Oryzias latipes: one gene and its partners. The protein of the gene in region 3 interacts with the protein of the main gene of each other region in a pairwise test. Links are inferred from orthologs where the notes say so. Each region holds a gene or a part of one and is shown on either strand. Other genes may lie near its edges.

What was found.
Region 1: the proteins of ubac1 (region 3) and cpsf6 interact in a two-hybrid assay, tested with the Homo sapiens proteins (2 studies listed by BioGRID and IntAct). The link is inferred for Oryzias latipes from reciprocal best matches to the Homo sapiens genes UBAC1 and CPSF6.
Region 2: the proteins of ubac1 (region 3) and rnf216 interact in binary tests that used the Homo sapiens proteins (3 or more experiments, as listed by UniProt). The link is inferred for Oryzias latipes from reciprocal best matches to the Homo sapiens genes UBAC1 and RNF216.
Region 4: the proteins of ubac1 (region 3) and trim2 interact in binary tests that used the Homo sapiens proteins (3 or more experiments, as listed by UniProt). The link is inferred for Oryzias latipes from reciprocal best matches to the Homo sapiens genes UBAC1 and TRIM2.

What each region holds. Positions count from the first base shown.
Region 1 is NC_019881.2:14,390,187-14,398,647, forward strand, and holds the start of cpsf6 (cleavage and polyadenylation specificity factor subunit 6), read right to left. Parts: upstream 4,726-8,461; 5' UTR 4,675-4,725; coding exon 4,615-4,674; intron 1,856-4,614; coding exon 1,646-1,855; intron 1,531-1,645; coding exon 1,427-1,530; intron 168-1,426; coding exon 22-167; intron 1-21. UniProt on the Homo sapiens protein: Component of the cleavage factor Im (CFIm) complex that functions as an activator of the pre-mRNA 3'-end cleavage and polyadenylation processing required for the maturation of pre-mRNA into functional mRNAs.
Region 2 is NC_019866.2:19,117,814-19,124,706, forward strand, and holds the end of rnf216 (E3 ubiquitin-protein ligase RNF216), read left to right. Parts: intron 1-1,267; coding exon 1,268-1,490; intron 1,491-1,584; coding exon 1,585-1,654; intron 1,655-3,113; coding exon 3,114-3,466; 3' UTR 3,467-3,660; downstream 3,661-6,893.
Region 3 is NC_019867.2:2,167,869-2,176,217, reverse strand, and holds the start of ubac1 (ubiquitin-associated domain-containing protein 1), read right to left. Parts: upstream 5,387-8,349; coding exon 5,249-5,386; intron 3,128-5,248; coding exon 3,007-3,127; intron 2,923-3,006; coding exon 2,849-2,922; intron 2,771-2,848; coding exon 2,663-2,770; intron 2,591-2,662; coding exon 2,488-2,590; intron 2,031-2,487; coding exon 1,922-2,030; intron 1,830-1,921; coding exon 1,544-1,829; intron 1,424-1,543; coding exon 1,337-1,423; intron 1,099-1,336; coding exon 960-1,098; intron 1-959. Other genes in the region: notch1 (neurogenic locus notch homolog protein 1), read right to left, coding at 7,826-8,349.
Region 4 is NC_019859.2:20,975,451-20,983,263, forward strand, and holds part of trim2 (tripartite motif-containing protein 2), read left to right. Parts: intron 1-825; 5' UTR 826-870; coding exon 871-1,004; intron 1,005-3,166; coding exon 3,167-3,404; intron 3,405-3,544; coding exon 3,545-3,696; intron 3,697-3,817; coding exon 3,818-3,998; intron 3,999-5,306; coding exon 5,307-6,030; intron 6,031-7,248; coding exon 7,249-7,352; intron 7,353-7,813. UniProt on the Homo sapiens protein: UBE2D1-dependent E3 ubiquitin-protein ligase that mediates the ubiquitination of NEFL and of phosphorylated BCL2L11. Plays a neuroprotective function. May play a role in neuronal rapid ischemic tolerance.

The DNA of each region.
Region 1 (8,461 bases), on a different chromosome or scaffold from region 3:
GATGAAACTGGAAATACTTACTTTTGCGTGACTGCATCTCAAACTGGCTTAGGGATTGTTTATTGCACGGTGTGACTATAGGATTCTGACCATGAAGCTCTCTCTTGGACAACAGGTCCATCAGTTTCCTGGATGATCCCTCAGAACCAACACACACAAGAGCAAACCTGAAGGAAACCAGCACAAGACACCCTGTCATAAGTATGCAAAGCAAAAACATCCTAGTTATAAAATGTTGAACTCATGAGGCCACCAGGTTTTGTAGTTGTTCCACATTTGAATCATCATCCTCACAGTGAAGTTTTTTCACACAAACAACATCCACGCAGGCATCCTCTGATCCATACGTCATTGCAAATGCAAGGTTGAATACACTAAGCGCAGACGCTTTGTGCCATCAGAAAGACGCTACCAGCCCCGCTGTGTGCCAGGTCCCAGGCGGAGGACATTCTGCGCCTGCAGGACCGTTTATTGAGGCTGGGCAGGCATGCATGCGTCCTCCATTGAAAGCGAGACAGAAACGCCAACTCAGGCAGCAGTGTGTACAAGCACGCACTTCAATAGCCCTGCCCACAGAGCAGGGGCCGCCCTTCGCTCAGCCGTCAGTAAGCCTGCTGCGCTTTGGAAATGTCCTGCTATTACACAGTGTCAGCATAGCATGAAACGCGATCGTCGCTGCTATCTGTTTACATAATAAACCGCCTTATCTGTTCAAATTGTGTATTACTATAAAAATAATATTAATACACACAACAGAGCTATCTCCTCACAAAGATTTGTGTACTCTTACGGTGTAGCTTTTGAATAGACAGAAAATACTTTATTTACATTCATCCATCCATCCATCTAGGTAGATCTTTTGGAGCTTGTCTCAAAAGTAACTCGCATGCCAAAAAAGTGTGGGCACCCCTGGTGTAAGCTCAAACCGGAAATCATCAAACTATATAATGGTACGGTGGACAGTAAGCATCACCTTAAGGGTTTTGTGGTGGCACAACTTTAATTACTTCTGTTCAAATTGTCTTGAGTCTCGTCACAACTCTGAAAATGAATAAACTCTGCGCGGTTTAAACAAAATGCATACAATAAATTGCACATGACATGGATTCCTATACATATGAATGTATAATAAAATAAAAAATACTCTGACGTCAACACATAAATAACACACGCTCTCTTTGACATACCGTAACTCTTTGGCCATTTACGTGATCAAACCGAATCGGCTGATTCTGATCTGGAGAAAAGCAGGTTTTCATAGAGGATTTGCACCGATATGCAACACATCATTAATGTAAAGTGTTGCACATCAGCGTAAGGCTGCTTTTTCCACAGTTGAAGAGTCACGGTAATCCAAAGAACGTTAACATTGAAGCTAAAGCCTCGGTGTAAAGAGTTAAACACAAACAAAAACTACTGTCCTCACCCTTTTGACTGGCCATTAGCCCTGTTTTCAAAGAACTTTATCTCCAGCACATCTGTAATGCCTACTGAACGAATGGCTTCAGTCAGGTCTTCATCTGTTGTCCACTGTAAAAAAAGAACAATAATAAAAAGAGACAAATTATCAATACTACTTTCTTAGCATTTAGTCGAAATTGACAATGAAACTTCTAATTATTTAATTTGAATGGTTGAAACCCACCCATGTAAGGTTGCCGATGTACAAAGCAATCCGTTTGCCTGTATAGGTGTACACCACATTGGGTGGATTACTCTTCCCTCCGTCAGAACCGCCAGATGGAGGCATTGAATCCATGTAGTCCCTGTCTTCTGGAGCATCTCCATTATTGGCAGATGGGGATATCACATCATCGTACAAGTCAATCTGCTCGTGAACTGGATACTCCGATTCCTTTAAAAGAAAAATGAGTTAACACAGTTAAAGCAAAACATGTGGGGTTCAATTCCACAAGAACCTGAAACTGTGGCTCAACGTTTATAAAAACTGGGGATGTAGAAATGCATCTTTTAAGTGAAAGATATTATGGATGGATATTATTTTTAGTAATGTACAGGGGTGTAACGATTAATCAACGAATCGATTTATTTTCTTACGATTGAAACAGATGTATCTGTCTAATCTAAGGTAAGTTGCTTATCGAATTGGCAGTTTGCCACAACTGGGACGCAGAGGGAAAGACAGTGGCTGTGACAACATTAACCACTTGGATCTGTCGCCTCTTTGCATCTTTCGGGATTAAAAACAGTGACAATCTCTTCTCACAATGAGCTTTTGTCACCCCTATGGGGCCAAAAGGAAATGGTCCATTCAAGCAGCGCTGTTACTGTGACCCCAACCACTTTTATAGTTTCACATAGGGCTGCACGATATGAGGAAAACTCGCGATATGCGATATTGGTGATTAATATTGCGATAACGATATGATTCGCGGTATATAAACAAACAGCAAAACAACCAAAAACATAATTTCCATTTCACTGCAACAGTTTAAAAATTATACTCCAAATGACCCTTGTCGACATAGGAGGCAAACATCAAACATAAAAGGGCTCATCTGATTGATCAACAACGTAAATGGGTCCTTCCGATTGGTTAAATGCATAAAGGGATTTATTTCATTTGTTCAATATTTCAAGCTGCCACGAGATTGTTTTAGCACATTTAAGGTAACCATTTATTGCGATTTTCGCCGTCTTTTGTGGTATGCATATTGCACAGCTTAATGTCGCGATAACGATAAATTTGCGATATATTGTGCAGGCCTAGTTTCACACAATGTACGTTACTTTCTGCCTTTATGAACGGGTGATTTAAATGATTGTGCACTGCAGGCAAAAAAAACAAGTTTGCCACGGTGACGTAATGACCCTGTGTTTTGAAGCTGTTGGCGGTGAGATGACAGGTGGGGCAATACGATGAGCGCATGCATAAGCGGGAAACGCGCTAAAGGTTAATGAATGCACAGCCGGTTTTTTAATTATATTTAGGATGTCACAGCGACTGCCATTTATGAAGTTATAAGCTCAGTTTGTTGATAATACCAAATAAGGTCAGATTATACCCTGACTTTTTTATGTTCTGACAAATGTAAATGTGAAATGAGAAAAAGTTTTAAAATGAATAGTACAGCTGATCGCCACTCCATTTACTGGGGGTGAAAAAAAATGAAGAATGTCCAATTGTGGAAAATTTATATTACTATAATTAGCATTCTAAGGTCAAAGTAAAACATTTACTTTTACATGCAATAAAAACACCATGATAGATTTAATTTACATGACGTATACAGTATGATGTACCACAAATGCTGTACTTTTTGTTTCAAACTAACATAGTTTTAAGTTATTTAAGTTCACTTTTTAAGTTTGGCCTATTTTCCTTGTGCAATATTGTTATGAAAGAACGTCTTTGAGGTAATGCCAAAATGCCTGCTGTTGGGAATTAAATACATTTCTAGACATATTGAACTTTTTTACATTCTAAATTTCAAAATGGCACTTTATGTCACAAATGCTGTTGACCCCTAATCTATAGAAGTTTACTGCATATCACCAGACGCTTACTTAGCTCCCTGTTTTACTGGAAATTGCTGCAGCTATAATAAAACATGGAGACCAAATAGTGCTAGAGAGTTAGTCAACAAGAAGAAGCTGAAATAAAAGAAATTACACCAGAATTTAAAAGTAAAAATGGTTACTAGAAAAAGCAAATTACTATAATAAATTGATTTAAATTAATTAAATTCCAAAAGCATTTTTTTCTCTTTATTTTATGTCACGCTTTATGAGGAAAAAAAGAGTAGTAAACTTAAAGAAATGTTAAAAAAAACTAAAACATGACTAATAATTTTTAAGTCACTGGCTCTTAATTAAGTTTAGCTAAACAATTTTAATAAGAAACAAGGAAAAAAAACATTTATTTTTAAATGTTTAGCTCCGACAGTATAATACCATAACAAATTCTGTGCAAAACAAATGTCAGTAAGTTATGATTTTAGTATGCGGTCTAAAAAGGGGGGCGCGGTTTTTAATGTGCGCGCGCGCAAGAATAAAAAAAAACACCCACCATGCATGATGACCCAACCTGCTGCCAGAATGGAAGCCGTGTAACTCGTGTTTTCCCCTTTTGTTTTTATTTTTGACGTTTTTAAAAGTACACCAAGTTACATTTGATCCAAACTATAACCCACGTCCAATACAGTAAACCAATTAAACGTGTGAAGTTAACCAACACCAGCTAGCTTATCATGAAATGCGTGTTTGGTTAACAGCCTCCGTCGGGAGAAAAAAAAAAAAAGAAAGCACACACTGCGCGGCCTATACGCGCGCTCCACTGAAAAGGCTGCTAGACGCTTTGCTGATGGACAAAAATGTACATATTCTAAATAATAACCCACATCACATTTACCTCCACATGTGTACTACTGTTTGAATAAAAAATGCAGATCTATTGTACAGAAGTTTGCTATCTATGCTGCAACCAACGCAGCACACTGACTGACAGAGGCCTGTGTGTGTATTGCTAGTGGAGAAGCTAGCACGAGCATCAAATTACACCTATTTTTCCTATAACGCCGAAAAGACCATTGCAAAAATTAGAAAAAGAACTTCAAAGCACTGAACAAACTCGAGAATATTTTATTTTAATACCTGATTAAATTCCTCTTCTACGTCGGCGTAGATGTCGATATGATCCACACCGTCCGCCATTTTCCTCTGCTTCGTGCCTCCGTCCGCCTGGCGGTGCAGAGGATCGGAGCTACAAACAATAACTCCGGGAGATGCATCAGCGCCCCTGCTGGTCGTATTCACTAACTACAGCCTGCTCTGCTGGGAATGACGGATTCATTGATCATCTGCATTTCACTTTAAACATTCATACTACTGAATACGACATCTATAAAAAATATAAATTATTCTGTTATGTATTTTGTAATTACGCATTTAAAAGAGGAATTCAATATCTATTTATTTATTAATAAATGATTTTCACAACAATGGAAATGCAATTTCTAAAAGAACTCAAATAGATAGAATAGATCACGCTTTTTTCTACGTACAGCTGTGCACCTGCCATTACTGTTTTGTTGATTGAAAATTTCAGCAAATTTGACACAAATCGCTGGAAGAAATGGTCTTTTAATAAAAATTGTAACAATTCTTGACAACAAAGTTAAAAGTGAAAATAAAAAGCAAAGTTATGTGTAAAGAGAAGAGTGAAACATGATCTCCAACTATATAGTTTCCTGTGTATTAGGTATTGCTGTAATTATACTATAATATTTTTTTCAAATTAAAAATATAAATATTTTAAGACGCCCAAGTGGCTGGGATAGGCTCCAGCAGCCCCGTGACCCCGAAAGGGAATAAACGGTTAAGAAAATGAATTAATGAATGAATGAATATTTTAAGTACATTGACAAGACACAAAACATTCTATTTTGGTGTATTATTTGTAGACTCACATTTTACACTATATTAGACATTTTATCAATAATGTCATATAAATAAATTTAAATCTGGCTTTTGATCAACATTTGAATACTTACTCTGATGTAAAGGATACAATAATAACTATAACACATAGGATTTTACCTTAAAAAGTAATTTTGTAAAACTTTATTGGAAAATAAAGTTTTATTTTTTGAAATCATCTGTCATTCACAATCCAATTTGTTGAAACAACCACTGCTATCATACTATATCTTTATAAATTTACTGCTCATTTATATGAAACTATAAGTTTATAAATAATAGGTGAATAAAAGGAGACAAACAGAAATGACACACAGTCAAAGTAAATGTAATAAAAACAACTTTGTGGATCTTTTATTTTATAAATAATGGCTTTAATCCATGTAATACTTTCATAAGAACAATTTACAGGTTTGTTTTACAAAGGAAAAAAACAGAACAAAAGAACAAAATCACATTCCAAGTTTTAGCTCCTCCTAAAAAAAATCATAAACATTTCATATATATTAGATTTTACCTCTGTCAATAACACAACCAAAGACAACAACAACAAAAATAATAATTTCAGTCAGACCATTTTAAATGTTTTAGTTAAAAAGAATATAAAAAAGGTAACAAATATATTAGAAGTAAATCTTTTTAACATGCAAAAATGGAAGAAAAAAAGAAGTTTGAAAAAAAGAAGCGTTCAGTTAAATCAATATAAAAATACATTGTAATTTATTGGTAAATAAATCAACATTAACAAATGTTATTATCATTAGATAGATACCATTGTGATTCTTTTTTCTTTTAAAGTTGTTTACTTATTTTTTTCAGCAGAGCATTACAGATACTTAAAAAAAAACCTGAGGCAAAATGTTATGCAAAAGAAAAACTTTTTTTTGCTTTAACTTCAAGAACAATTTAATTACATGGTGAAAGTGCACAAGACAAAAAAAGGCAGAAAAACGTTTTAAAATTGTGGCAGGTAAAATGTAATTAGTCTTAAAACATGTAAAAATTAGGGATAAAAGTATGACCCTTCCAACTTTTAACTTAAATATTTCTGATACCACTCATATAAGACATTTCTGACTGGGCCTTCATCTAGTCTGCTTTGGTTGATTCATCAAACCCCTTTAAAAAATGCCCTGTGATACAATTTACCAACTCAAGTTTCTCTTCACGCTAACTATTTTTTCAAATGCAACATATAACAAAAACAGATGCAGTAATGTGGATCTTGAAGGCTGAAGTGCATATTTGCAAATGCGCTCTAGGCCTTGCCTGTGATCTTCAGATCAGAGGAAGATGGAGACGGACAACTGGAGATGTGTTGCACTCTTGCTCTAATTACTTATGCTGCAACTTGTGACTCACCATTCCTTTTAAAAACAGATGCTGTAACCTTCATCTTTTCAGTCCATTTTCAATCTGTGACTCAAAGGCGTGCAGGAGTGAGTTTGCTGGAAAGTGTCCATGGCAACAGCAATCCATTAACTTGCTTTACTCGGTTGTCATTCTTAAACTTACAAAATATAATGCTTCAGAAGTCCAAGACTTTTTTCCTTTTTTTTAATGAGAGCAAGAAGACTTAAAAACGTTGTAAGAAAGTTGTCCATCATCAGGAAATTGATCCAGCAATGGAAAGACATAGCAGGAGGAGGACATATGACAGTGAAATGACAGATGCCCCTCCACAGTCGTCTGCATTCTCCTGCAGGACCCAAGCAGAGACACAATTTGATTAGAACTTATTGCAGGTTATTACTCAAATCAACAAGTTGCTATTTAATACTTTACAAATAACATATAGACAAAAATAAAAAGATAAGCACGAGGATATAACGAGTGGAAAGCTTACCTGCGGATGATAAGAATGACAGGACTCAGGGCGTCTGCGAATCTTCTGAGACCTCATTCTGTCACACTTCACTGATGCATTATGTTGAACAGGGTCAAGGGGAACAAAAAACCAATAGCGTCTAGAATTGGGCATTATATAATACACATTTTTGGGTCATAGTAAAAACGTAGAGGATGTAAGAAAAATCCATATTCTTCCTGAGATCAATTGATTTTTAAAAATGTATTTAGATTTTTCATAATGTATATTAGATACCCAAATCAAAGGATATATTTGACTTCTTTGGGCTCCAGGGTTATGGGCGGGTACTGCCTGGAGCAGTCACAGTCTGCTTGCACAACCAACATCAACAGGTTGCTCTCTGGGATCTGTTGCACTACAAACATTCTGACACAAACAGAATAAGTGCTCTTAAACAGCATAGAATAAATAAACTTTATTGTGCGTGTCTTTAGACTTAAGGGTCAATGATGACTGAAATACCATATTTTTCCACAAGAGGGCGGTCATACTCAACACAATATTTATGACCAGTATGCTTTTCCTATCCACTTCCATTTGAATCCAGTTATTTTCTCTTTTTTTCTGCTCCTTAAAATTTACCTACTACTCTGTCTCCCATTCTCCCAATTTCTCAATAACCCAACACTTACCTTTCTCTTGATAAAACATTCAAACAAACAAACACTGCTCAAATAAAGCAGAGGCACTGAAAATGTGTTTTAAAAATATAATTTAATGCGGCTTGCAGAGGGCCATTTAACTTTTTTGATGTTCATAAAGTGTACACAAGTGTGTGCTTACTTCTGGCATCGTCCACACTTGATAATGCTGTTGGTCTCTTTGACTGACGGCTCATAAATGAAGCTGGGGTACTCAGTGTCACATGGCTGCAGGATGTCCACTTTTTTCTTATGAACATAGGCTAATGGAGAAACAGACAGGGTCACATCTTTGGGTTGGAATATTGAAGAAAGTCAAAATGTTGGTGAAGCTATTTGTTTGTGGCTGACAGGAGAATGAGAGCTGGTGTCTAAAAGCTAACACTCAAGCTATTAATTGGTACTTAGCTTGCAGCATGTTCCAAACAAGAGTGAATGTGGTGTGTGTTTACAGGTGAAATAATGGGGCTGGAATTTGGCAGGAAAGATATAATGGCTCATTAAAATGTAA
Region 2 (6,893 bases), on a different chromosome or scaffold from region 3:
CAAAAATGACCATTGGGGCGAACACCTGCCAATCAAAAAGACACACCCCTGATAATGCCAGCATTGACACTCAAGAAAAAAGTAAATGTTAGTCTATTTTTCCATTAAAATGTAACATTTACTTCTGACACTTTCAAATCCATCCCCTGGACATGGAAGTGGATCAGATCCAGTTCTTCCTGTCAGAACCAGTTCTGTTTAGGCAGTCAGGGACGAGGCATTTCTGCACCACCCTCTGTTAAGAGTCCCACTCCAATCATCCTTTAATCTATTGTAAATGCGTTCCCAGTGGTCTTTTATTTATGATTATGCTGCAGCCAAAATCCGAAAACCTGTGACGGTTTCTGCAGAGCGGCAGTAGTTCATTAGAAATGTGCCTCTGAGTTGTGGACGGCCCTTCCCCTTCCTTTTGCTGAGAGCTCAAGGCAGAGAGTTTCTAGCCTGCCCAGCGGTTTTTTTGTGGCTCAACTAAAATCTTTTTCCAACTGCATTTTTTCATCAGCTCCTGATTCACAATGATTTAAATAAAGAAATTCTCAGAAATGCAATTATAAGCTGAATTTATGTCTATACATGTCCCATTATGTCTCCATAATCATAAAAACGCCACAAAAACATGTTCTAAATACCAAAAACGTGATTTTCATCGGGGTGGTTCTTTAAATCAGAAAGCGGCTGCAGATCCGCAGTAGGTGGGATGATGTATAAACAGCTCAGTTTCCCGGACAACCAACCAGGAAGACGGAGGCTCACCTGCTTCCTATCTATCGCCCAGCAGGAGCAGCGGCAGCACTTCCTGTTTTTAGAGGATCTTACTTCCCGGTGCTGAAAGATGAAGGAAGCAGCTTGGAGAACAGATCAGAGCTGTGATGGTTCCAGCAGGAATCACAACAGCATTCAGGTCCAGGTGGTCCATCCGTCCACAAACAATAGGAGATCGGATTATCAGGAACAAACAAACTGGAGATTTATATTGAAAGTTATTAAAGGGCATTCTTTTATTTGTAAAATCACCGCTTCAAACATTGACCAACCCCTGAAAAAACCCACTTCTCAGTGAGAACTTGCTGTTATTCAACTCAGATAAACCTGTGAAGAAGAGTCTGACTGAAGCTTCATCTGATGTTAGCAAAGAGAAAGCAGAGCCGAGTTTGGATTTTCACACATTCCTCTGGTTCTGAAGAGGCTGAAGAACAAACCTAAACGAGTTCTCTGGGTTGATGCACACACAACCCCCTAACCCTGCTGCTTTCCCTTCCTCCTGCAGCGAGGAGCGCATGACGGCGGCGCGTGTCAGGAAATGCGTCAAATGCGGCACCGGCCTGGTCAAATCGGAGGGATGCAACCGCATGTCCTGCCGCTGCGGCAGCTTCATGTGCTACCTCTGCCGGGAGCCCATCACCGGCTACAACCACTTCTGCCAGCACGCCCGCTCCCCCGGGGCCCCCTGCCGCCACTGCCACAAATGCTCCCTCTGGACCGACCCCACGGTGCGTCCTCCTCTGTGCATGTTTGACACTGACTGAAGCTAAAGGGGAGGAGCTTTAATGACACCATGATGCGGCTTTCTGTGTTTTTCTGCAGCAAGACGACGAGCGCATCATTCAGGAGATCCAGAAAGAAGGAGAAGCAGAGCTCAGTAAGAAGTGTGCAGGTCAGGAAAAGCCATTTTCTCCATCTTTGAACCTCCTCTTCTTCCTGTCAAACCGCTTACAGACATGCTCTGCTGCTGCTTTGATGTTCTGGATCCAGAACGGCGTCACAGTTCAGAGCTTCAGAGGTTTTACTGCAGCTTTTGATGCAGAGTTTATGAAATGTTTCTGCGGGATCAAACCTTTCCAGCATCATGTTTGCAGACGTTTGCAAACAAAAGTTATCATGTAAAGTGAAATCCTTTCTGTCTTGGCAGACACCAGAAACACATCAGCGTCTTTAGACGTCAGTTTTCCTGTTTTCACCATAAAGGGTTTGCGCCTCAGTAAAACTGTATTTTTTCAGACTAAAGTTGTTCCGGAGGATAAGTTGCATCAGCCAATATGATAAAAGAAGAAAATATCGAACATACGTCACACTTTTGGGAGAAATGTAACAAAATACAGGAAGAAGAAGGGAAGAAGAACAGACTGATTTTAAGTGCTTCACTGCCTTAACCGCATTTAGCTTCATGCAACATAAGTATAATTATTACCATAACCATAGCATAAAGAACATGCTAATAACTAAACTCTTTATATCGCTTTAAATCACTAAATCTGATGAGTAACTCTGAGCGGAGCTTCTTCTTTTGTGTTGCGGATTAGAAAGCTGAAATCTCAAAGCAGGTCTTCTCTGGTTGATTCCATATTGTTGATTTGGAATTGCGGTTTGTTTTGTTTCATTTCTGACCTAGTTTTTAGTGGACTTTTTTCAGTTCTTTTGAATATGTTCTATGTTTTTATTGAATGAAAACAATAATTCAAATATCAGCAATGGCAAGAGCCTAAAATTGTTCGTCTCCAAAACTTAATATTGTGTCGTCGTTGATCAAGCAGCTTCTGTTGCAGGTCTTTTAATCTGGAGGTGTTGGGATTATCACAACACATAACAGACAGAAACATTCAAACAGCCTGTTATTGTTGTTGGAAGCAGCTCATCAGACACCACAAGTGGCCACGCCTCCTAAAATCTATCTGCTCCAAGCGAGCGTGACACCACCCATAGAAAAGAACCCGTCTCCAACAAAATAAAGTGAACACAGACGCCGCCATATTGGAGCCAGACAACGTCAGTAAGCAGTGATTGGTCCGAGTCGGCCTGAGTCAACATTTCTATGGCAACCACTCTCACCAATCAGGAATGAGCTTTTTAAAAGCTACACCCCTACCACTGAAAACAGGGTACTTGAAATCTGTTGATGAAAGTTTTTTAGCATTCAATAAGAGACCACATGCTTTTATGGAGGAATCTGATTGGTCAGTTTCTAGTTTAGTTCTCAAATACAGTCAATGGTTCTGTCACTCCGCAGCGCTGCAGACCAGGACAGGAATGATCTGCTCTTATCAGTGCAGTGTGAGCCACAAAGTCGGCCATCTTTCATCTCTTCATCCTTTCCTCCCTCCTCTCTAAATATGCAGGGAAGAGGGTCGGCCCGCCTCCAGAGATCATCCCAGAGACCAAGCGGCCGTGTGTGGGCCCCGCCCCAGAGAACCCACCCAACCCAAACCCGGCAGCTCCCCCTCAGCCACAGGCGGTGCAAGCCCCTTTGTTTGTCCCCCCTCGCGGCCGCTTCCCGCCGCCACCTCCTCAGGGCCAGATGTTCCATCAGATCATCATACCCCCGGCGCCGTATGTGCCCCCGCTGCAGCATCTGCCCCCCATGAACAATAATCACCAGCACGAGCACAACCCACCCTTCAACCAGCGTCACCGCAACATGGACCTGCCCATGCACTATGGGCCCCCCCCATACTACTACAGACGCTACTAACCCCCCTGCTGGGTTCTGCGTTTTGACTGTGAATCACTCCGTTTGTATGTTTCAGGTTATAGACCCCCCCTCCACCCCCCAGGTTCCAGTTTGACCTCGAGTTGTTTGCATTAAACAGACAGTTGAAGCCTTTTTCCAGTTTCTACAGAGATTTTTCAGTAAAAGATGTCTAAATAAATATAAATCAAAAGGTTGGCCTCCCCCTCCTGGATCTTTTGTCAAGCATCGGGCTTTCTAACAAAGTTTTCTGTTTACAGTTTTGGAAAACATCTCAGTGTGTCTCTCTGCCCCCCACCCCCGTCAGAATGGGCTGACTCATGATAGCTGAGCCTCTGGGCGATCCACCAATCACATGCAGGATCCTCCCCCCCCCCCCCCCGTCCAGCTCTGCAGTGACTCAGAGAGGGGACTTCTTTGTTCAGCCATGTGCGACCCATCACCCGCTCGGAGGGCAGCCCCCCGCTTCTGCCCTGGGGTCCTGATTGACCAGAATTCTACCACATTCTGATGCTGGGAGGCGGCAGCAGCTGCTCTTCACTCTAATTTAGAAACCTCATGACTGCCCCCGCGGCCCCCCTGTCGGTGACCCCTGACCTCCCATACCACAACCATTTTCTGTCCTGAAAACATGATGACTGAGACAAACATCACGCGCCCACGCCGTGGAATCTCCGGATGTTTTGGTTTAGCCCCTGAACGCACCGCGGAACTCATCAGACTTGGATTACAGTCCGAATTAAAGCGAATTATCAGATTACAGCTCATTTATTTCAAAGAAACAAAGGAGGGGCTTAACTGACACGATTAGACCAGGGGATAAATTCCATCGTCTTAACTCTGTTTATTAATAATTGGAATATTTCCTGCATTTATAGAAAATTTAGTTTGATTCAGATTTATTGGATTTGGTTCATTTATCTTCAAAATATTACGTTTAATGGATCCCTCATTTCTTTTCTCAAACTCAAAAGTTTTCTGTAAACTCTCACATCAGCTGTAATAACCTCAAACACAGGAGGAGATGTGTGATGAAGGCATGTTAAAGCTCTCCTGCTGCTCCTCCTCCTCCTCAAGGACCGCGGGCATTTGGCAGCATTCTTGCTCCCCTGACAGTTATAGCTGCTCTGCCGCCATCGGCTTTGTTTGGGGCTGTTATTTTTAGCATTTTATCTTTAAATATTGTGTACATTTTTGATGAGCACACCCTTCACAGCTGCCCCCCCCCCCAACGCTGGGCCCACATTGCAGCTGCTCCTGCTGCCCCCTCTGATGTCACCACAGCCATTTTCTTAAGAAAAACCCTTTAAAAGACAAATTCAAAAGTGGAAGGAGTACAGATAGTTTTTTTCGTGGAGCTATGGAGAGAAATAAGTTTCAATAAGTGTCTGTGTGTAACTTTTGCGCACACACAAATAGGGTGAGACTAATTTCTTAGGCGTTTTATGGCTCATTTTCACTTTTACTTAAGTGGGAGCTCTGTACTTTCATGCTAGTAATGACAAGTATAGAGGGAGATAATGGAAGAGAAGAAATCCCTTAATCAGTCTGGAAAGAACTTTGAATCATTTCAAAGACTCCAGGAAAACTGACTACAAACAGAAAACATTTCAACATTTTTTACTTTCGGCAAATGTGGTGGTAGTGTGATAATTGGGGCTGCTCTCCAGCTTTACAACTTCAAAACTTCAGAGGAAAGTTGTTTCAAGGCACGGAGACGGCTTCTTTCATCTATAGCCGCGTTTACATGGGCAAAAGTAATCGGAATGAACGCCTGATCGGAAAGAAAATGCGTCATGTAAACGCGCCGTTCGGAATACTCTGCCCCGGTCAGACTCATTCGGATCAGAATTTCTTTCCGATCGAGATAGGTGGGTTATACCGATCGTTTATCCGATCGTGGAGCATGTAAACGGTCATTCCGATCGTGTGTCACTGCTGCTCTGGTTTACGTCACGCATAGACGGTGTTTCGCTGAGAGAAAGCTTTGGAGCGCATACGGGACCGACCAGCTCTGCGGACACCCCGTGAAAAGCGCCGCTCCGCTCTCGCCCCGCTGGCTCTCCCCTCTCTTACACCCCTCACGGGGGAGATTCGGAGGAGGAGCGCTCACTCGGTCCACTGGCACCCGAGTGAGCAGAGCAGCTGGATTAATAATGTTGTGTCGGGGGGGGGGGGGGGGGGGGTTACGTGTGCGTTTTGTTGTTTTGTTATGTGTGGGAGAATTCAGACTGCGAGCCGTCCCGCCGCTCTGGGTTAGCGGCTGCAGGACTCAGGAGGACCCGTGTTCGAACAGAGCTCGGGGCGCCAGCTCACAGAGTGGCTTTGGGGCGGTCTGTGTGAACTTTCAGAGCAGAAATAAATGTCGCTCAGTCCTTAGAAAGCTGCAGATTGCTGCGTTTCTCGCACGGTCCTGGATTTTGTGTCCATCCATCAGGCTAATGATGTTAGCCCGTGTTAGTCTGTCCTAAGCTTTCGTCCAGCTTAATTCTTCCACAAAAAAAGCACTGACCACACAGATTAAATATAACGATGAGCGAACAGGCAATTCATAATATTCATGACATTAATAAAAGCACGTTTGGAAGATCGTCTCGTATGTTACCGAGCTGCTGCATAAATATGGAAGCGGTTTGTTTACAACGGGACCTATATCCGCATCCGGGTGATTTTTACACTACTGCGCATGCCCAAATGATTCATTCCGAACGAGAGTGTGAGCCATGGGAACGTTTGTTCTAATCGGAAAAAGGTTTTCTGTGCCCATGTGCACGGGTGAATTTTAACCCGACCATTGATCCGATCAAGATATTCTGCCCATGTAACCGCGGCTACAGTGATGCTGGAAGACCCCCCTCCCCCCCATCCCTCTCTCTTTGTGCCACACCGGTTTTTAGAAAATGCTCGGTTGGAGCATCGAAGATGTCGAAATCATCTCCCTGCCTTCAGCAGCTGGTGTTTCCCTGGCAACAGCTAGGAAGGCCAAGGCGTGAGGTGACTTTAATGTGTCTGCCATTTTGTGCACAGCTGCTCCTCCCTCCCTGGAGTTGCCCCGCCCTCACCCAGAACCGCTGCACCCACCCCCTGGATGTGGGTCACATTGTCATCATTGTAGACGAGAGCGGGACGGGTGGAGGAGGGGGCCAGAGGAGATCAGACGGGGTCGTATGTGTTTGTTTGGCCTTCTGGAGGCGTTCCACTGCAGACCTGGTGGGGGTGAGAAGGGTCGCAGATTACAGAGCAGCTCCGGAGGCTCCATCGTCGCACGCCCCCACCACCACCACCCCCGAATGGCAGACATGTTGATCTTTAGTGCTCATTCTGTACTAAAATAAATGTTTCAACACAAAGGCTCCATTCAGGAGACAGGAAGAAGTGTGTGAAGTGGGACGACACATGGAGGAGGGGGCAAGAGGCCAGACACATCCAA
Region 3 (8,349 bases):
ACGCTCACTTTCTGAACTGACTCACTGTCAGCTCTTGCTTATTCAGATCATGGCTTGTATATAAGAACTGGAACGAGCGACCTGGAGCCAGTAGGAAGTACCTGCTGGCTCCAAGAAGTCAAACTCCCAAAGACTTCTACAGAGAAATAAGCAGCTGTTCCTCCATCGTGACATTTTGCTGTAGCTCCAAGTATTCAAGTTATAAACTGACCAATCAGATGCCTCAATCAGAGTGGGCGGAGCCACACATCCAACAATCAAAATGGTTGAAAGATTTCGTGTACCTGGTGGTAGGGGCGTGGCCCTCCATCAAGCTCAACCCTGATTGGTGAATGGTTGCCATAGAAACAATGACTCAAACCAATCACCGCTGACGTTTGGCTTCAACATGGCGGTGTCCGTATCAAAAAAATAATAATAATATTGCGACTGATTTGGTTTTATTGTGGAAGTATGAGTGATGTCACGCTCACTCGCTCCAGTTCTGACATACAGTCAGTAGTTCTGATCAGACCTAGAGTTCACATTCATCGTTTATTAGCAAACAGGCTAAATAAATTAGCCTTTTTGGAATCATCTGGATGGAAATGGATTATATCAGAATAAAGCTCTGTCTTTTCCTTTTTCCCCAAATTTAGTAATAACCCCAACTGAACTTTTCCTCCTTGTGAAATTTTTTTTTTTTTTTTTTCGGTGTGAAAAAGAAAAGGAAAATAAATATCTGCGAAATGAAATGCATTTTCTGCTAAAGTGTTCCAGAGATTTTAAATAAAGTTGTGTTTTTACACAAAAACCTCCCGAGGGATCGATTCCCTGAGCGGTTTAATCTGAAGCTGATCAGACGCCCACAAAAAGAAAGCTAACGCTAAGCTAACGTGTTTAAAAATGCTTTCAAGAGAAACTGTGGCAAAAACACAGATCATCTAAAATTAAAACCGATCAGTGGGATTGGATGATACCTAGCAGGGTTTTGGGATTGGTTAAGCCCAGCTGGACGACCGGGTTTTCCAGAATCGCTTGGAAGAGCGGGCTGTTGGTGTCGATGCCTTTGTCCAGATCTTCAGGAGAAGGTTTTCGGTCGCCCAGCAGCCACTCGCACTGCAGGAAGTCAAGTGTGGTTAGAATAAAACAAACCGGTAAATCTATACACACATATCCTGAAACATCAAACGTTTCAGCTGGAAGCAGCAGCGTCTCTATCAAACACTGAAGAACAGCAGCTTTCCATGAGGATTCTCTGTTTGACAGAGAGTCAACTTCACTTTTCTACTGAAATGATCAGATCTGATGTGTGTGAGGGGGGAGGAGGTGCAGTGACATTGTTGTGGATACATACAGCAGCGTCCTGTTGGTTGTTGTTGACCCTCAGAGCATCAATCACCTCCTTCTCACCAAAGCCCATTTCCATCAGAGCCACGACGGCCTGAAGGGGAAAAACAGCAGCCTGAACGGGAGACTAAATCCACAGACGACTGAAACTATGAATAAATACAAGATCCTGTCAAAATAAAAAAACCTTTTCAGAGAGCAGAGACTGTCGTACCCTTGAATCTGGTCTGAACTCTCTTTTCCTGCGAATCCTCTTGAAGATCTCCGTGAGTTCGTCCTGCCTGCTGCTCTCGTCTGAGCTGGACTGGCTGCGAAGGAGGTTACAGCAGGCGGCGGCGGACGCTGAGAGTGCCGGCGTGGCGGCCGCTGCAGCCCCGGTCGCAGCTCCCGACGCGGCCACCACCGCCGCCCCCGACGACTCCTGTCCCGGCAGCGGCGCGTCCACAGAGGGGTCGTCCACGTGTTCGATGAGCCACTCCATGGCCTGGGTCACCGACATGCTAAAGCAGAGACAATCAGGACGGTGGTCCAGCCACACACAGCCACTCTGTGCTACAAATGCGTGTTTATGCTGTTCAGAAAACAGAATTACTGGTTCAGTCGGAGAGCTTTGATGGCTCTGCTCTCAGGGAAACCCATCTCAGCGAGCTGCTGCAGCGCCGTTTCATCCACGCGGTCCTCGTCGTCTTCATCCAACATCGCTGTGACGAAGAAACACCACCTTTAGTGCGCATATCACTCTCAGTAAAACTCATGAATGGCGAGCAAAAACTGCTGACTGAACAGTTTCAGAAGGAAAACGTCGGCTCAGATGTTCAAAGGACCAAATTCAGGAGAACTGACCGTCCGCGGCGTTCCCTGCTTCCTCACAGGAGTTACCGTTTAAAATAGCTCCAAGCTGTCATCTTTGATTTTTACAAAACCGACTCCCTGCACACTTTTTCACACGTTCCTCTCTTGTTTCAAATCTCAAAGTTCAAACCTTCGTAGAAAAATACGTCCAGGATTTTGGAATGAAGGCAAAGATCTGAACCCGATCAAAGATTTATGTACATTTGGGAAATGTTTTGTTCTCATTTAAAAAGACTTTTCTGTCTGAAGTCACATTCTCCAGCAGCAACATTAGTGTACAGGCGTGACAGGAAGCGTCCGCCTCACCGTTGGCTTTCTTGAAGAGCTCCACAGCGTCGGGATTCAAGGCTAGAAGCTTCTGAGCAACTTCGATGAGAGAAACCAGGATTTTCCTCAGCTCGGTTTGAAACTGGAACAAAGAGCGGAAGCGTAAGGCGGCGGGCGGCTGCAGACCCGGAGGCCGTGGAGTTTGAACGCTCACATCTCTGATGTTGTGCTGCGTGACGGTGCGGTCCGTGTGCCGTGTGGGTAAGCTGGCGGTCGCTTTCAGGATGGCGTCTTTGTCTGGAGCTTTGGTGTCCTGTTTCTTCTGAGAAGAGACGAACAAAAAAAACTGCTAATAAGGAGCTTAACATGCGGAGCCTTTTCATAAAAAGAAGGCGTTTACCTTTTCATCTGAACCAACCTCTGCCGTCTTCGGAGGCGTCGGCGGCGGCCTTTTCTTTATGAGCAGCAGGACCTCTGAAACCAAACGCACAAAGCAGATAAATGATGGGAAGTCAGCAGCAACGGGAGCGAGAAGGTTGCAAACGTGACGCCGCGTACCTTTGTCCTTGAGGTTTTCGTCAGCGACGGTTTTGGCGTCCGTTAGGACTCGCTCTGTAGCAGCGTGGATGAGCTTGTGGTGGGTGAGAGTTTTGGGGTCTTCTAGACTTCCATGAACGTACTGCAAAATCAAACAACGAAAAAACAAACAGAAGAAATCAAATGTGTGTATCTGTTGAGTACATGTATATTTGTGTATTTATCATTCTAACCTAAAGGGTCAATGGCGTCTTCTTATATAGCGCTTTATCATTACAATAAGACCCAACGCTCTTTAGTCACAGAACTACTGTTTATTATGTTTATTACCTTTTCATTCAATGGACAGTAATTATTCTGTTAATATTTTGATTTACAACAGACTTTTCCTAGATTACTGTATTCCACATATTGTGTGCACATTTGTGTGCATGTATGTCCGTATAGTTTTTGCATCTTGACATCTTTAGTCTCATTGTTCATGCGGACGGTGACAATAAAGGTTTTCTGATTCAGTGGCAGCAAGTTGTGGAGGAAGTCAACTCCAAGCTGACGTTGTCTTTTCAAATTAAAAGCATTCATATCAAAACGCTGCTCAAAATGTTGTTTAAACAAAAGGAAACCCAAGCAATTTTTATAAGGTGTATTTGAATATTACCTCATTGGTTTTTTGATTATTTTTTAATGATTTTGTTTTCTCTACACCATGTTTGTCATAGAAATAATAAATAAAAACTTTATTTTTTAAGGTGCTATACTGATCTTTAAAGAAATTAAAGTGTTTTTTTTACTATATTGCTTTTTAATTTATTCTCCAATTTTCTTATTATTTATGTTTCTGTCAGGGTAACTAGGATTGAAAGTTTCCATTTTACACAAACTAAATTGACGGTTTTTGTGGAGAAAGTAAAACGTACAACGAGGATCATCTTTCAAACTACATTTAACTGCAGCGTTTTAGCAACAACAACAAAACGTTTAATAGGGAATAAAATCAAAATAAGAGAAACTAGATTTTTTGGCCAAATCAAAACTTTCTCCAATAAATTTGTCAGATGAGTCGCACAACTAATAAGTAGCACATAAAGCACAAATAAACCACTAATAAAACCACATTCTCTATTAGAAATTTTAAGACTGACCCACAGAATAAAAAAAATTCTTTAAAATCTTCTATTTTGTCCAAATAGTAAATTAAAACAAATAACAATTCGTCAGATTTAATGTTGGAGCTTGAGAATAAGTTGTTTTTCCAACACTTCTATGATTCTATATCTTTATTTAGGTTACACCTTCTCTGACGTCCGTTCATAGCCATAAATCCAGGACTTCATTTACCATCACCTGGAAAGGACAAAACAATGACTATATGTTTTATAAATTCAGGTATGAAGGAGTTAACATTCAATATTTTCTATTATAGGATTTAACTCACCGATTGATTATTCTGTCAGTGTTTCTTTCTTGTATAAATGTTTGATTGATCAGGCTTGTGGTATTTTTACTAACCAACACTGTTTTATCTTCACTAAAACCCATCTTCACGCAGTGACAAAGTTTTTCTGGATGCTGAATTCTTCCAGCAGTGAAGCTGCCGTTACCGTGGTTACCGTGATCAAAGTTACCCATTTACCAGCTGCGGATGTCGGTCGTTTTTGTCTTTTTCCTGATATTTTCTAAATGTTGTTTTGCTCTCATTCATTTGATGCAACAACGAGATTTAGTTACTAACTTTAAAAAAAAAAAAAAAAAAAAAACCTTTCTTCACCTGGAAACAACTGTTTGATTTGACATAAATATAATCGAGTAAAAGTCCAAATTCTCCAGGAATAAAAAGTATAAATAAATAAAAACCAACGTTTTGTTCACCGAGTGGAGTGAATTTGAATTAAATAAAAGTTTCTTTCACGATAATTCAGTGGGTTGGATGGGAACCCAAGAGGAGTCAGTCAGCACAGAAGTAATAGGAATCTAAAGTATTAATAAAGGAGAAATAATAGACCCCCGTTGAGTTCCTGCCAGGGCCATATAAGGAGAGGAGAGGTGAGCGGGGTAATAATAGAGCAGGACAGAAAAGGACAGTTTAGCTGCAGAAGCTGCAGAGAAGCTGCCAGCCTCTTCAATTATAAATAGCAGAGTCTACCCAGTTACTATAAATACACAGCTGGAGACGGTTTACCCCGAGGGCAAAGAGCAAACACCCCGGCAGGGCAGTGACACGACAAAACAACAAAGTAGCCCAAACAACCTCCAACAAACCTACATGTTTCAAGCACTTCTCCTTCAGTTTCTCCACCGTGGTGTCCTCCGTGACTTCCTCCAGCCACTCCGCACCGTCCATGGTGCAGATGTGGATTTTCAACACTTTCCCCGCGAATATTTTCTCCTCCTGGACGAACATGGCTGCCGCGGTCTTCGGGGCCCGGCGACGCTGGCGAACGAACGGCGGTGGCTGTCTGCTCCCCTCGGCTCGTCCCAGCGAGCTAGCCTGCTAGCCTGCTAGCGCGAGCCCCCAGCTAGCCGCCGTGGGTAAATCCACCAACAACCGAACGGCACCGATCAGCTGGCGGTCATCTTCGGACTCTCGGACCGGCGACAACCGAGGGACGAGCTCCGAGGCCGCCAAGCTGTTTGTTTTTTGCCGCTAAGCACACAGGGCAACAACCAGCGAATATCCTATTTTTACTGTAACGTTTGAACTCTGACCCGCAACTGTACGAGTGCTGGTGCATTATGGGACTTTGAGTCATTATTTAATCTGGACTTGTTTAAGACTGTTATCGAATTTATTGGAAAGAAAGGTTAAACGGGAATCAATTAACATTAATTAACAGTAGTTCAACATTTTTAACTATTTCAACAGCACCTCAGCTGTTTTCAACATTATTTAAACACTAAATCAACCGCTTTTCAAAATTTCAAATAGTCCTTTTACATCATTTCACCTGTCTTCAGCATCCTGTAACTGTTTCTGAACAGTATGTTTGCTGTTAACACAACATTTCAGCTGTTTTTACACTACTTTAGCTGATTTTCCAGCACTATTTTCATTGTTTTATTGTCAAACAGGATTTCAATTGCTTTTCCAACTGTAGTTCAACTGTTTCCCCTGTACTTTAACTGTTTTTCAGAAATTTAAACTTTTTTTAAGAGCAATTCACCTGTTTCAACAATACTCTAACTGTTTATGATCAGTCATTAAACTATTTCAGTGGTGTTTCAATACTGAGTCCTTCATTCATCTGCATCTGAATTTTACTTTATTTTTACCAGAGTGAATAAAAGGTAAATTGTGGCTTTTAAATTCATGCCACTAGATGGAGACATGGAAAAAATATCTTCACAGAGGAAGATGAGGAGAAAGAAGATAATCTGTGAGTCTGTAGGTTTTGAATGACCTTTAGTTTCTTCGGTTACCTGCAGGTCCCGCCCACAAAATGGTGATTTAAAATATCAATTTGACTTTTAAAATAATTTAAAGATACCAATAGTCATATACATTTATCAATCACTAATTTTAACAGTAAATTTGATTTTTTGCACGTGACAACCATGAAATCTTTTAATGAAAACGGATTATTTGCTTTGTTCATTTGCAAATAAAAATTAAAAAAAATAAAAAAACGACAAGAGTACACAACGTCAACTAAACACTCATTTAAGTTTCTTTTAGGACTACAAAAACCCCAAACTGATCACTTTGAGAATCGCAAGTGCCATTTATTATAACAAGACATTTTTACAGGATAAAAATCAAAGTAAAAAACATTTCAGGAAAAGTCAAATTTGACAAAGAAAACAAACATTTTGCTGTTTTTTTTTTTTAACAGCTTGGATTTTTTTTTGAGAGAATTTCACAAAGAACATCATGGAGAACTTCACCAACAGTTTTCTCAGTGATTTTATGGTGATTCACAACTTCATATGAACATTTTAGAACCATACTCTTTATCTAATCAAATATATTTAATCTGCTTCCTTTCAATTTTTTTATTTGCATTGGGGGTTTTAATATACAAAATATATATTCTCCTATACTTTATACTTTAGAAAGCTACTGTTGGTGCAAATCCCATCCAATCCACGTCCAAGTATTCGATTTCTTAAACAAAATCTTGCTTACGAGGGGAATTTGAAGCGTATTTACAGAAGGAAAAACAGCCATAGGCTCAAACTAACCGGAGGGATGGAAATACGGCATTTCCTGTTTCCTCTTGGGGGAAAAAAACAAAAAAACACACCAACATGGCGACCAACGGGCCGGTTCTCCAGCGGGACTTAACACAAGCCTGCCTTCACTGCCAATCTCCAAGATGGCCGTACTCTGTACAACGTATCACATCCACGAATGCAATAAAAACGAATGGCTGCTCCACCCGTCCGGCAAAACAAAAAGGGAAAAGAAAAAAAAAACACATTCTACTCAAATTCACAGCGAGCAGCAACTAATATTTCCCGACATTGTAACACTGAAACTGAAAAATGTGCTCTAGTTGAATCAGGGTTTCAGATCATACAAAAAAAACAACAAACAAAACAGGGATGAAGAAATAATATACAAAAAAAGCAAAGACTACAAGTTTTTGAGAAAATAAATAGCCAGTGTGTAACGCTGCCCCCTCCAGGCAGAAGGAGGTACTACAGGAGCAGCGACTGGACTAACGCCACAGGCGACAACAAGCAGGCACATAAATAATAAGGAGACATTAATAAATAAAAAGTAAAAAGGATGCAGATGTTGTTAGTATAAAAGATTATAAAGTCCTATTAAATCTTGTTTCCAGCTCGGTTTTATTTAAAACTATACAGCTGCCCGTGCGGGCGTCACACTACCAGCCTCCTATTTGAACTGCTCTGGTAGGTGCCCCATCTGAGACTGCATGCTCGTCGCTGGACTCGAAATGCCCTCTGACCAGTCGGACATGTTGGAATGAGGAGACGAGCTGGACCACTGGTCCGGGGAGCCGGGGGACGGGGTCAGAAAGGGGTTGTCGGGAACCTGCACCTGATGGTTTGGAGTGTTGTCCATTGGGCCTGAGTAGCTGTGCTGGGAGGGCGGGGTCAGGAACTGGGTGCTGGGCATGGACTGGTTGATGGAGGAGGGCATGATCTGGTTCTCCTGGGGGAGGATGGTGTGGATGGGTATGCTGGAGCTGCCAGAGCCCGGCTGGAGCTCTGGAGAAGTCAGATCGCCGCTGATGAAGTTCTGGCTGTTGGTTGTGTTTGAGTTCTGGTGCTGGAGCTGGAGGTTCTGCTGCTGGAGCTGCTGCAGGTTCTGGAGTTGCTGGATCTGCTGCTGCTGCATCATGTGGACCGGAGGTCCCAGTCTGGTGCTCTGGATTCCCTGGTAGGTCATCATCTGGG
Region 4 (7,813 bases), on a different chromosome or scaffold from region 3:
AAAAGATTTTGACAAAAAGTGCACAGGTGGCTAAAAGGAAGGAATGTTTTTCTGCATGATGAAAACTTAACAAGTTCATGTCATGTGGTTTGTTTCGGCACATGGGATACACCAGCTTTGAACAACTACTGCTATTCCCACCAGTTAGATTCTTGTGTGCACAAGAAACCAGTCCTCATTTATAACTTTTATGTCCCTTTAGGGGCTCAGTATAATCTTTATAAAGGAAGAGAAAGAACGTTTTACATGATACAATAGTAATAGTTCTCCGTTTCAAGAAATATGATTTTTTTTTTAATTAAAAAAAGCAAATTGTAAGGTATTTTTGAGAAACATTTTGTAAATTTCTTCAGTTTTTAATTAGACACATTTACTTTAAGATGTCAAACATCTCAAAGTTTTCTTTTTTAATGAACCTTTAAAGTACAAAAAGTATTTTACCACAAAACCAGAAAAACAGTTTGAAATTATTTTGCTAACTCCTTGTTGTAAGGGAAAAAAACTGATTTCAAAATGTTGTGGTTGTTTTTAGCGTTTTTATTTAAAAAATGTACCATTTTTGTGACTTTGGTGCAGATTGTGATCACTTTAGACAAAACTGTTGTTGTGAGTCAGCACCACAGCTAGATTAAAGCCTTCAGTTGTATCCTGGTTCACTTATTTGCATTCAATCAGAGACTAAAGCAAGATAGTGTTTTCTTTTAATTTTATAACCTGATCTTCATCACTCACATCACTCATCTCCATGACATGATCACCCTTTGATCGTGAGTTCTGCCTTTCAGCTTTTTCCTCACGTCTTTTCTTTCCCGTGTCACTCTTTAGGGTGCAGGATAAGAAGAAGAGGCATTCTTATGTCCGAGTTTTAGGATGGCCAGTGAAATCTCCTCTATTCCCAGTCCTGTTTTCCGCCAAATTGACAAGCAGTTCCTGATCTGCAGCATATGTCTGGACCGCTACGAAAACCCCAAAGTCCTGCCCTGCCTGCACACTTTCTGTGAGAGGTGAGTGGAGTCACTGAGCTCTGACATGTTTTACAGGGAGGATTCTTCTACATTTTTGGGGGATTTAAACATTATTCTGGAGTTAATGTGGGTGTTAATACCTCAGGACGTGGCGTTAGCTTTGCTGTTTGTCTCATCCTCTTACGTTGACTGCTTTTTGTTTTTGACACAAAAGGAGAAACTGTTGATGTGCTCAGATGTTCCCTTTACTCTGGTTGCATTTTGCATCACCCCTGTGCTCCAAATGTTTCAAAACTCACTCTACCAGAGTGCATCTGTAATTTGATATTAAAGTTTTTCTCAGTCGCTTTAGTACAATTCTCAGATCAGAATTGAAGTTTGCAAATACGTGTGTGCATTTCTCATAACAATTTGTACAAACAGCAAAACACTATGGATTTCTTGCAAAAGCCTGTAACTTGCTCAAAATCTTTAGTTCATCTCTGAAAACTATGTCTTTATGTCATTGAACATGTCAGTGCCATCAGAATGTCAAGTCCTTGTGTCATTGTCTACGAACAAGACAGTCAAATTACTTAGTCATGTTGTCAATATAACTGTGTACTTTAGAGGGAGGTTCTGATGTAAACTATGGCTAAAGTTTTGATGACAATTATTGTAAAATGGAAGTTACACCTTTTTTGTTTGATTGCAAGAGACTGGACAAGATTCACATTTACACTTTTATTGTTCATATTGTAATTTGTTGACAGACCATGTCATACCAACATAGAAAAAACCCACTGCAAACAGTAACACAAAGGGAAAAGAAAGATAGGACAATATTCTGTACAACAGTACAGGCAGTGCAGTAGGAATTGGTGTGGTCTTCCTACACCTCTTGTCGTTCCTGTATGTTAGGCCACAAATTCTCATCCACATCACAGCGAATATCCTCTCTTGCAATGCAGCGAAATATGTTTGTCACATTATGACAACTTGGTCAACCATTTTGCAGTTAATGACTTATACGATGAACTAATGACTAGGTGTTTTGAGGAGTAAGACTATTGCACAGTGAACTATATAATACATTTTGATCAACATGACATAAACAATTGATAATGTAGCAAAGAGCAGAGAATTGTACATTATCATTTGCATGTATGTACCAAAGCAAATGCAACTTGTTCAAAGAAGTGAGAAACTGCTTATATGATGTGCACAAGTGACATCATGATGTGAAGATTGAACAAATAGTTTTGGGAATTTGATTCTTATCTGAGAATTGTACTAAAGCGACTGAGAAAAACTGTAAAATTGAAATCTAAGCAAATAAGAAAATCTTTTTAATCAATTTAGATCATAAAGTTATTTAAATGGCAACATATTCTTGTATCTTAAAGCCTAATTTGAAATGTGATTATTTTAGTGTATATAATAAGGCTCTTAGAACATATTTTTTATACCTCTGAGCTTACAAAATCACTGTCCTTTTTTACAAAGAACTGACAAAAAACAGGATAAGGTTCCATAATGCACAAAAACTGCATAATAAATCAAATAAATAAATAGATTGGACCTGAAAAAGAAAGAACTGAACTTTGCAGTGACAAAATGTGTCGTAAGTTAAAAAAAAAGGTTTTGTAACAATAATGGTTGAATAATAATAGAAAATGGATGGACAACAATAGTTAGACAGGACTGTTTTTTTTTTGCTGCGGGGCAAGAATAAAATTTGAAAAGTCCAAGATAGATGTTTATGGAAACCATTCACCAAACTATAAGAAGTACAAATCAGTGATAGACTTTCATTTAGAGGACACCAATGTAAGTCTAACACTAGGTACACTCCTTCTATGGGCTTTCACAAGAATAGTTCAATACAAGAAAAGTAGAGCTCAGAAGGCCCCTCTTGGTGCTCTTGACACAACTTCAACAGCTAAATCAGCATCTCCCCTCATATAGTCTGCCCACTCACTGACAGAGGCTACATGAAAACTGGTTTCATTGGTTTGAGGTATTTGGTTGCTTTGATTTGTAAAGCAAGTTGGAGCAACCAGCTCTGACACTCAAAGTTAGCCGCGTACTCTGTGCTGGCTCACCTTTGGTGTGAAGTTGCTCATTAGCCTCAATTTCTGATCATTCACAATAAGGAAAGAAACACATTTAAGTTGTTGTTTGTTCATGCTTTCTTTGGTATTCTCTCCACCCACCTTTAGGTGCCTGCAAAACTACATCCCGGCCCACAGCCTCACTTTGTCGTGTCCGGTTTGCCGCCAGACCTCCATCCTGCCGGAAAAAGGTGTGGCGGCATTGCAGAGCAACTTCTTCATCACCAACCTGATGGATGTGCTGCAGCGGGCGCCAGACAACTGCAGCCAAGAGGACACCATTCTTAACAACATCGCCTGTGTTGCAACAGGCCAACTGCTGTCTTGCCCCAACCATGGAGGCAGTGTAAGAACCACTACCTCCAATTAGTTAAAAATCAAATTGAAACATACGAGAAGTTTCTCCATATTTAGTATATTCGTTGGTACTAGTCCAGACTTAATGCAAACTTTTGCTTTGTAATCTCCTCTTTTCCTCTAACCTAGGTCATGGAGTTTTACTGTCCTCCATGTGAGACAGCCATGTGTCAGGAGTGCACAAGTGGCGAACACGGAGAACACCCTACTGTGCCTCTCAGGGATGTCGTTGAGCAACACAAGGCTTCATTACAAGACCAACTTGACGTTGCCAAGAAGAGGTACAAATGGACATGTTTCAATGCACCACAGTATTCACTGGCCATGTGTGAATCAAAGTCAGGCCTACTTTTTTTTTCTGACTTTGTTGCATGACATCTAACCTCTGCGTGTTTCTTTCAGGTTACCAGAGATCGACTCAGCTTTGCACATGCTGTCAGAGATTTTGCAACAACTGACAAATCAGAAAAGCTTAATTGAGGATGACATCCACACAACCTTTGATGAGCTTCAGAAGACTCTCAATGTCCGCAAGAGTGTCCTTCTCATGGAGCTGGAGGTCAACTATGGTCTCAAGCAGAAGGTGAAGAACTTACAGTATTTGTGATATTTAGATCAGGGTTTATATTGTTTCTTGTGGGGACTGTTCCAGCTCTGTTTCATTTTTAGTTTATTGAGGTCTTCTTAACCCTGTTTATTGGGGACACTGCTCATTTGATAGGTGGTTAACCACTTTCAAGAGGAGTTGAGGTAGCATATGCATCACCCCAACCAACCATCCAATTACCTATTGGCATAGGAGAGCGTTGTCAGTCCCTCTAGGATTTTATTCACATGGGCAGCTAATGATTTAAAACTCACTAACTAGTGTGTCGTGACCACTCCGGTGCCCATGGGGGAAGCCAGTGCATCATGCAGTTTAGTGCTCAGTAACATTTGGGTGTGTCAGTAGAATGCAGTAGGGCTTTGATTGTTTTCTAGGATTTATGAAATGTGCTGCAATTGCATCTATGTCTACATAATTCCTCTTTGTCCAACAACCTGTTTATAGTTTAATACACAAAAGTGTTTGAATGTCACAGATTATTTAAGTTCTCCTTCTAAAAAAGATGAGAGAGGTCTGTTAAAGTCATCACACTTCAACTAAGAGACAGAACGTAAAAATCCAGGAAATCACGTTGAATTGCATAATTTAGACTAACGTATTTGTATAAAGAAGCAGGAAATAGAAATTTAGCATCTGCAAACAAACAGGAATTCTGTTTCTCACAGACCCCATTGCAGATTAGGACGATGGATCTGTATTAAGGAAAGGATGAATAGGACCATGTATGGTGAGATTTTAGGCTAAGACCTCCTTCCATCAGTGATGGCTTTGAGGATGAAAAGTGGTTGGATCTTCCAACAGGATAATGATCTCAACCACATCAGCCGGGGAACAAAAGAGTGGCTACATAAAAAGTATCTCAAGAATCTGGGGTGACCTAGCCAGACTCTGGACCTCAGAGGGAGATGAAAGTCAGAATTGTCCAACAACAGCCCCAAAAACATCACAGCTCTGGAGAAGATCTGCATGGAAGAAAATAGCTAAAGTGGCAAAGGAGGACTTCCTAGAGTATTTTTTACATTCTGTTTCTCACAGTTGAAGTGTAATTATGATGAACATTACAGACCTCTCAGTAGGACAATTTATAGAATCGGTAACTAACAAATACTATATGCCTCACTGTGCCCATTTTTTTTAAATTGTAAGATGTGGACTTAAAGAAAATTCAACTAGTTTCTAATAATAAATTATAAATAAAATAATTACAGTATTAAATTTAGTGATGAAGTACATAAACTATACTAGTTAGACCCAACAGCATACAACTGGTGTGTTCTTGTGCAGGTGCTTCAAGCCCAGCTGGATACCCTGCTGCAGGGGCAGGAGGGCATTAACAGTAGCTGCAACTTCACAGAGCAAGCCCTGAACCATGGCACAGAGGCCGAGGTGCTCCTGGTGAAGAAGCAGATGGGTGAGCGTCTCATGGAGCTGGCCAGCCAGGAGCTGCCTCTGCACCCTAAAGAGAATAACCAACTGGACTTCCTTGTGGAAACAGAGGGACTAAAGAAGTCCATCCACAATCTGGGAACTATTGTAACCACCAATGCTGTGGCATCTGAAACGGTGGCAACAGGTGAAAGCTTACGGCACTGTGTGGTGGGAGTGCCCACATCTATCACCATAACAACCAAGGACAAGGATGGGGAGTTGTGCAAGATGGGAAATGCACTCATCACTACTGAAATCTCCCCACCTGATAACAGCAGGGACATTGGAGAAATACTGGACAACAAAAATGGCACTTATGAGTACATTTTCACTGCTGCAAAAGAGGGCACTTTTAACCTATCTCTGCGCCTGTATAACCAGCACATCAAAGGAAGCCCCTTCAGAATTAAAGCCATCAAGTCCATAGATGCCTGCCCAAAATCTGATGGGACAAAGAAAAGGCTTAAGTCTCCAGGTAGTGGACACATTAAGCAGAGGGCCATCAAGAGGCCAGCCAGTATGTACAGCTCAGGACGGAGAAAGGAGAACCCTATTGAGGATGATCTCATCTTCAGAATTGGTAAGAAGAACATTTCACAGCCCACCTATTTATGTAAAATAAAATAACTACTAAACTTTTAACATCAGTAAGTTAAGGTGTAACAATAACTCAAAAAACACAGGGACACATAACCAATGTGTTATAGGAACCGCTTTGTTTCCCTTTAAATGTAATTTAAGTCTCCATAAAAAAGCGCCTCTATAATTTCAACCATTTCCAAAAAAAATATCAGAGTTGGTGTCTCTCAAACCTATTTTGAACGTTTCTCAGTTGAGTTTTGTGAAGTACGTAAAGTATGTTAGACATTTTTGGCAATATAACACTAACAAATTCCTATCCAGATTTTACAAGGCATGTCTTGGACATTTGTGAAACACAAATCACTGCGGTTTCGCGAGTAAATTGTTTTACATTGTCTTTTAATTTTGCACCCAGAATGGTTGCATCCTATAGAGTTCCTAGCTTTGGCTACTCCACCACAAAAGGAGGTTGCATAAAAATGGTAAAAGAACACTAAACATGAGAAGAAAATAACTAGATGGTAAAATTATCGGTCCATGCAGCATGTAATTGTACTTAACAAGAACACTATGAAAATGTGAGAACAAGGAGTTCCATTCACAAAGGAATAAAAAGAACCTAAAAAACATAGGATTACTTCAAATTGAATGTTATGGTTCACTAAAAAAATCTTTTTTGCTAGTTTGTATTTTCTGAGTTTTTATGTCCTTTGGGTAATTCATTTTGTTTACTATGACAAAAAAACTGTAATGAGTGAACAAATGTGAACAAAATAAAAATCTAATCTTAGTACAAGTTGGCCCATCTTAATAAACCCTCATAAAAAACATGCATTTAAATTTTTGATTTCAAATTAATGTCAGTGAATGTCTAAGTTGTCAACATTTATTAAACTCTAAAATAACACCCTGAACCAAAAATCACAGTTCAATATGAGTTTTAAATCAAGTTTTTATGTCAAAAGTTTGGAGCAAAAGGATTTTGACTCATTTTAATAATAATAAAAACTTCCTTATTTCTAAACCTAAAAAACATTCTCGACTGCAGATTTTTGAGAGAAGTGTGGAAAGATGTAGATCAAAAGATAAAGTTAAACAACTCAAAACCTGTAAAGTATCTGTAATTGTTGTGTAATCATGTGCTCCTAGCTTGATTAAAACATGACAACAGGTCTCACATTGATGTTCCAATACAGCAGTGCTTTATGTTTTACAGGCACGAAAGGAAGAAACAAAGGAGAATTCACAAATCTGCAGGGAGTGGCTGCCTCATCTCTGGGAAAGGTGCTAATAGCAGACAGCAACAACCAATGTGTTCAGGTACAAAATACTGCTTCCACAGTACAAGGACTACGTCCAAAGATGGCATGCTGGGATTTCTCTGCAGTCTCCTGCACTTGTGGTTTTCTAAGGGTGCGGTGCAACTTACAGTCTGAGAAATTCCAGCTGTAGTTTTGGATTTGACAACTGAACATTATAATATCAAAACACATCTGCTAGGCCATTTTGCCGACGGTAAAAAGGCTGAGGGACAGATAATAAATCTGGACCAAACTCGAGCCAAAAACAATGGAGAGGGATCTGTAATCCTCTACAATACTCCAAGGATGTGAATGTAATGGTTCCTAAACATGGATTTAGATTTTTTTTAAGACATAGTTATCCTTTCACAGCGCTCTTTTCTTTCAAACTTACTTTTCTTTCTTGTTTTGAAGGTAGTAACATAGCAAAATTGGATTAAAAGTTAATCTTTTAATCTGAAAGTATTCATGCAGATGGGT